2 linked regions of the Lepisosteus oculatus genome follow. The protein of the gene in region 1 interacts with the protein of each later gene in a pairwise test. Links are inferred from orthologs where the notes say so. Each region holds a gene or a part of one and is shown on either strand. Other genes may lie near its edges.

Evidence for each region. The genes of interacting proteins can lie anywhere in the genome.
Region 2: the proteins of creb3l1 (region 1) and fam3c interact in binary tests that used the Homo sapiens proteins (3 or more experiments, as listed by UniProt). The two-hybrid records come from large-scale screens. The link is inferred for Lepisosteus oculatus from reciprocal best matches to the Homo sapiens genes CREB3L1 and FAM3C.

What each region holds. Positions count from the first base shown.
Region 1 is NC_090716.1:4,509,281-4,513,033, forward strand, and holds the start of creb3l1 (cyclic AMP-responsive element-binding protein 3-like protein 1), read left to right. Parts: upstream 1-1,169; 5' UTR 1,170-1,459; coding exon 1,460-1,561; intron 1,562-3,753.
Region 2 is NC_090702.1:40,014,330-40,018,082, reverse strand, and holds the start of fam3c (protein FAM3C), read right to left. Parts: upstream 2,539-3,753; 5' UTR 2,438-2,538; intron 1-2,437. UniProt on the Homo sapiens protein: May be involved in retinal laminar formation. Promotes epithelial to mesenchymal transition.

The DNA.
Region 1 (3,753 bases):
CCCTGAATTCACAGAAGCGGCCAGTGGATGAATGCCAGAGAGTCACCCCAAACCAACCATTTCTTGAAGGTTAGGAACACTTGTAGTTTATTGGTCAATTAAGTGAATAATGAAGGGAATTCAATTAAGGGAAAACCAGCCCTTGAGGCCTGGATGGTCTTCAGACCCTTTGTTTTAAATCAAAAGTATTTCAAATCAAAGCAGAGTGTCTCCTGAATGTATGTTCCATTTGAGATCTCAGTTACAAAGCTGGTGGAATTATTTCCTTCACAGTATAACTGTTAATACCTCTGGCAAGGATTGGAAATGTTTTATGTCCAGCTTTACTTTTACTGAAGTGTGTTTCATTGTCTCATTAATCAGCTGTAAAAGACCATATTAAAAACCCTTTGTGTCTAATTAAAAAATAATTAGGATAACTGTTTATTTAATTGACTGCTCAATTAAATTGATCCCCCCCAAACCAGAAGACACTAGGCACTAGAAGAATTCGGTCGGCCGTCCCTGCTACAGTCAAATGCTATCATGGGGATAAGGTGTCGTTCACGGTATCTGCAGCGCAGCAGAAAATGCAGTTCTCCATGTGGACACACACACACATATATACTGTATAAACGTTTTATAAACGAACATGCAAACGTAAAGGAGTCGATTCGAAACCTTTTCAGGTACAATATGTGGCTGCATTTATTTTCTCTCGAAGAAGACGCTTCGCATCCCTAGCTTCTTGTCGACGGATGGGATCTGTTGGCTCCAAAGGAGATCCTGAATCGAGCGAAACACACACGGTTTTGATCCGTGCGCTGGAGAGCCCTCCTCTTCCCCGAGCCCAGCTGATACACAGCGCACCCTGGCCGGTCTCGACACGGTCCTGCACCCCCGTTCAGAACGGAGCAGCGCTGTCGGTCGGTATTTGGTGCCGCACAACAAAAGTGGTTAAAGCTTGTTAAAGGTTAAAAGGTTCCATCCCGTAAAAAAAAATGCAATTTTAGGAGCCGGGGCTGGGCTATTTTATAAAGAGCTCATTTGAAAAGGGCTAATGTACCACTGTGGCTTTAAGAGACAACGGGTGGGATTTTGGAAAGACGAAAGAAAAAAGGCAGGAGAAACTAGGCGGAGTTTAAATGAATATTAATCATCTGATGGACTCCTTAGAGACAGTCCCCAGCTGGATGAAACACATTTGACAGAACCCATATAGAACTCGTTCTCTAGCATACAGGGTTTTAACCCAGCATTTTTTTAGAAGAAAAAGAGCGAATTCAATTGAGAACTGCAAACAGTTCATTTGCAAACGGCATTATTTCACTTCAGTTCTACAACTCAGCTCGAGTTAGGGAGACAACGCAACTTCTTACATCTCCGTATCTTTAGCCAACAACTTAGATTTTGAAAAGTTTGCATCCATTTATTCTGATCTCTTTCTCCCTCAACTAATATCGAAACCTCCGTTGTTAAAATGGACACCATCCTAGACAACTTCACCTCCGAGAAACTTTTCCCTAACTCCAATCTCTTGGATTTAGAAGATCTGAATGAAGCCGACTTCCTCAGTAACGTGGTACGTAAACGATTGACTTACATTACTCATTTTCGTTATTTTAGATCCTTGACAAGGCACACTTATGTTTTCTAATAGCCTCTGAACCACTGTTAATGCAAAATATTCAAACCTAGTTTCAGAAGATGCATACACTACCGCATCACTGTTATAACGCGTCTCCTTTCTAACCCTGTGGCCACTGTTAATAAATGTGTCTTCCTAACCCTGTGGGAGCATATACCAAACGCTTCTGCAACGCTCTAAAATATCCCACATCAGAAAATGGCAAATGTATTTTTCCCAAAAACAAAACCCTTAAATGTTGTGTGGAACTTTTTGTAATGATTGTTCAGGGTTGCATCGTAACTCGACGCACCGGAACCCACGGGCAACCCAATTCGCGCAAGCGAGATCTTTTAGCGTTTACTTGTCAGCGTGGACAGCAAACTGTTTCATTTGTTAACACTCGGCGGCGGCCACTTGAGGACTGGTTTTCCGCGAAGAAAGTAAACACGGTTTCCGCCGCGAAGCAGCTGTTTTCGGGCCAGCGGAGCTGCCCCAGCTGTGCTCTAAACGCCGAGTCTGTTCTCGGAGCTCTGCCCCCGCGAGGAGGCGTGGCCCGGGCTCTTTCTCACGCCCACCCCGGCTCTTCTCCTCCCTAGACATCCCTATCCTGGTTAGCTCGCACATCCTGGTGGTGGTTGTTTATCGACCTCTTCGACTGAAGCTGCAGGGCGAATTCGAAAAACGCGTTTTGCCGTAGGTTGCGCAGTGCTATCTGGCTGAGTGTTGCGTTTGTGAGCGTCTTGAACGTGCAGGAGATCGGAAAGTGAACAGATGGGCTTGCGAGGCTGCCACGGTTTAAATTCGTTGTCGGATGCAAGACAAAACTGAATCTTTTTTTTGTGTGTGTGTGTTGCTTGATTAGACACCAGCGTGGAATCCCTCTCTAGCACCTTAAGTAAAGACCGCAAGCACCGCTGTGCTGCGATGGAGATGACGTTTGTCCAGTGTTTTTCATGTGGCGTGTTCACATGCGTTAACATACTTCACCAGACGTTTGCGGAAAAATGAAAATGTGTAGCTCTGACAGCACGCAGAGGTAACTCGTTGTCTGCGTGTTTAAAGTGGTCGACCAGGCGTATGTACCCTTCATTTCTGATCTTTTTTTTTTTTAATATCGGCTTTGTAGGAACTGTGGCGAATCAAAACCGCCGGACTTGGCCCGGACAAGATGTTTCATTTTAATCTTAATGAATAAATTGGCGCCCATCCAGTAACAATGTTTCTTATCTTATGCAGTATGACTCATGGGTTCTGTAAAAAAAACTGAAGGGGAAAAGCTGTATAAACTGTATCTGTAACGTCATCTTCATGGAAGAATGAGTTGGCTTTTCTTGGACATCTAGATTGATTAGGAAGGGTACAGTATACAGTATGTGGAATAGTGTTGATTATCACAGTTCTCTGCATGATGCACACTCATCTTCAGGTTGTGCAGTACAGCCAGACATCCCTGCATATTCTCGTAGTGTGAATGAGGTGGGGATTAAGTCACATCTCCCTAACTCTTGAAACTTGAAATCGGCACTGAAGGCCTGTCAGGGCTCCCACATACAGTAGTTACAATAGACTGTGGATGCAGACATCTTTTCACACTTCAACAATAAAGGGCTCTTGTTAGCTGGGCTTCAATGGCCTTTTTATCCTGTGTGCACTGACAGACTACTGAGGGAGGACCTGTATGTTTAGGTTAATTGGGCAGGGTCTGTTTCTGACTGCTGCCTCAGTGCTGTGTGGGGGCTGAATGAGGCCTGTGTGTCCAATAGGTCTTTGCTCCTGCAGTCACTGCCTCTCCACTCAAGCCCCTATTAAGGAAAGCCAAGTGGTGAGGACTGACCCAGTGAAAGGACTCTTTTGTGCATTAATAGGAAAAGCATCAAGTTGCAAAGGTGAAATCCAGCTGCCACTGTCAACGCAAAAACAAAGAGTAAATACAATGCTTTTCAGGCCTTTTTTTGTGGGGAGATTAAATCATCCTGTGTTTCCTGTGTTTAGATACTCATTTCATTTTATTTCCATTTTCTTCCATGTTTTTCAATGACCTCTTTTTTCAGTTCCGTTTAGTATTGACATGTAACATTGTGGCCGGCTAGGATAAAATAATCCCTAATGGAAAGGAAAAGAAACTGCAAGCTTCAACTGTAATA
Region 2 (3,753 bases), on another chromosome or scaffold:
GCTTATGCTTATATCCCAAAGGATAAACGTACTTCAGATGTAAGAGGGGACCGACAGCGCCTGTGTGACATGCAGCAGAGATTATGCGCCAGCAGCACCACTGCACAGCAGGTCAGGTGTGAGAAATTACTTCAGATAAATTAAGGTTAACCCAAGGAAGCCAGACTCTATAATTCCACTCAGGACTCGCCATACTCATACGAATAGTGCCTTAGGATCTTTAAAGACCAGACAGTCAGGACCTTGGTGTAATGCCTTATCAGACCCAAAGCACATACTGCAACACTGATGTCTTCCAGAGGGAAGAGGGCCACAGATTGATCCACCAACACCAGTTACAGCTGAAACCCAGTTTTCCTTGGAGGTCTCGCATTCCAGTACTATATTATAGAACATGTTATGTCTGCTTTTTACTTCTACTTATAGCTGCACTATAGACATTCTTAGCTGAGGGATGTCTGCTTTTACACAACAGTTGAGCTTATATGGTGTAAGTTACAAGTTCCATTATAAATATTGTCTTTTGAAATTTCTTAGGGTCAAAATACATGCGCATCCTCAGTCAGAATAAACAGCCGACAAGAAGAGAAAAATCATTCAAAAACGGTTTCTACTTTGATTGCAAAATCCAGATAGAAATAAAACAAAGCACTAGAAACACACAAACTGTCACACAGCTCCAGAACACCATGACATAATTTGTTTTAATGACAGCTGCGATATACATGTAGATACTGGAGTGTGATTCATCCTTTCTGATGATAGTATGGAACTACAGCCTGCTATTTAAAGGAAGGGCCTGAGCTTTGCTCAGTCCCTCAGCCGATAAAGGTGCTTGCCTGAGAGCTGGTTAATCTCTGTAATCGTGGGGTCAAGCCTCAGTAATAATGCTAGGTATCCATAAGATCACTTCATTAGCCATATACAAATTCTTGCATTAGGAATTTGTCTTTTTTCACAAGCCCCAGCTTGCTCTCCATGAGACACACAGACAGGGAGAAAGAAACTTGGGCTCAGAGCGCAGGGTCAGCCATTTAAACGGCACCCCTGGAGCAGCTGGGGTTAAGGGCCTTACTCAGAGGCCCAAAGGAGTAGGATTCCTCTGTCGGCCGCAGGATTTGAACAGGCAACCTTCCAGCCACAGAGCCACCGGTCCACCTGACTAGGAATCCTCATGACTAGGATTCCCCAAGCACACCAAGGGAAGAGTCCAGATGTTCAGAAAAGGGTATTTAAAGCATGCCCCACAAAATGTAATCAAAATACAAGAGCAGAGCAGCCCATTGTAGACCTACAAAAAACAACCTTTTCAAAAACAATTAGTTTTGTTAGCTTTGCTAAATACTTTTTGAATAAAGGCCACAATATTAATTATATCTGCCATTAAGCAGAAGAAAGAGCAGATACACATTTTACTGCATTCATCAAGACAAAAGATAAGGTATTAAGATGACTGCAATAGTATTTTATTAAGTTACCTGGAGCCGTAGGTTGAAAATGCAAACGCACTGAATCAAACGGATAGTAAAATGCAATTTCTTTTATGTGTCGATGATGTTTTTACCTAGAAAGACAACTACTGTACTAAGCAATAAACTGACAATTTCAGCGCTTACCTATTGAATACATGATAAGAGCGAGCTCGATTTAACTCCAGCTTTTTACATGATAAGAGAGAAATAAAATAAAGTCCAGCTTTCCCTTTTACAGTCAGGTTTTTTTAAGCGGTCCTCGTACTATTTTCCCCCCACACTTTCAATGCGTTTACGCTTTAACGTACTTCTTTTTATCTTTAAAAGGCTTAAATCTAAACCACCCATGGGTGTTATAAACTAGAAGTCTGAGTAAACCAGTAAAAGACTAGTAAAACAAGACCCAGTAAAATTAAATAAACAACAACAAAATGACACCACCACTAGCAACTCTATCCGACTCAGCTCCCACAAAAGAAAAGGATGAATGGTTTCCACATTTTTATATAAATGTCGCATTCCCATTTGGGAACGACATCAACAGCAACTTAGAAACTACATGATATATTTCTCAGTCGTGTCAGTCTGCTATGATAACCCTACCCATGATACTTGTGTATGATTGTCACCAGAGCACTGCAAAATCCGAATGGGATCTAGGCTATTTAAAAGACGTCAAAAGCATGCTCAACTTATTTAATTAGTCGCGGCGGAATGCGGCAAAGTTAGCTGACTGAAAATTACATTCGATTTTTTCTTCACCTGCCGCTCCTGTGACGTACAGGTAAGTGAAATCTACATCCATCCATAACGTATTTTCCATTTTTTTTTATACACAGCGACGCCAATTCACAAACATGAGATGTACTTCCCGAAACAAAGCCATGCAATTTTTAGTTTTCTGTACATCTAGCACATGGACAATTATAAGGATAGCCACTGACCACACATCCAAATAACCCTACCTGGCGTACGCCACGGAGACAGGTAAAATACAGACTCTCCTCCCGTTTCGACAGCTCTACTTCCTCCTTAATGCGTCCGTTCCTGGAAGTACTATAGTTTTCTGCCAAGAAAAGAGCAGCTTCAAGCCTCTGTATAACACCTATTGCTGCCCCCTACCGAGGAGGAGTCGACGGCTTCGAAAGGAAGATTATAGTACTTCAAGTGTTGGATATAAAACAACAATTAGATACATTTAAAGGAAAGAGATCCCAAAAAAGTACTTCTTGTTTATTTTAATCATTCGTGTTTACAAACTTTACATGAAATTAAACGCTTCTGTTATGACCTTTACGTTAAGTAACATTAAGAACAGATTTAAATGTTAAGTAATTCTGCTGCTAAAAAAACTTTTAAGCGTGTAAAGCACGGGTGCTCAGCTCCAGTCCTGGAGGGTGAAGCACTTTGTAAAGGTGTCTTTAAATCAGCGGAACCTGTGGAGTTTGGAAAATCTGTTACCCCCCTCCAGTTAGGCCAATGATTATTTCAGTTGGCCACCTAAGAGCTGAGGTACAGAGTAAACTGCATATATGGGGTTGGGTACTCCCAATTTATTGTATAATGCTCAAAAGTCATCTCACTAAAAAGTTTTAAAGGATAAAAACAGTGACCACGATACAGATTTTAAACATCTGTTCTCACTAAGATGTATGCATTTTAAAGGAAGTGATCTGTATCTAAAATACTGTAATAGTTTCGGGTTCGGCGAGGACAGACTCAGTGACTCAGACACTCGTCGAGTAGAGAAAACAGCGCTTTTCTTGAACTTCGGTACAGGCAGCACAGCACTCCGCACCAGCAGAGCAAAACACAGACTGAAAGTGAGAGAGACCGAGCAAGCGCCAGAAAGAGTCGAGAGGGAGCAGTACATTGGGGTCTATTCGGGTAGCTACGCAGGGATAGTGTGGTAATTGGATACAAGTATAACAAGGGGGCGAAACCAGGGAACTATTTACAAGAATGCGGGCGATCTCATCATCACACACTAAATTAAATAAAGCGAACAGCGGGACCGCGGGAGGTTCCGCTTGTAAGCTGAAGTCAGGTAAGCACGATTTGTGTGATTACGAGAGTGGCGATTACGCCCAGGGCCAACGGGAATAGTACTGCATGGGGTGAATACACTGTCCTGTAAAGTCCAGGTTCATCCTCATAGAGTTTAATCGGTTCGTCGTGCGGGAGCTGTTGAGAACACATTAGTTATATGGCTGCCAGCAGTCCTGTCACCCTGCAAATCGAAACTGTCAGCTCACTGAAGCTCAGCAGGTGTGAGTCTGGT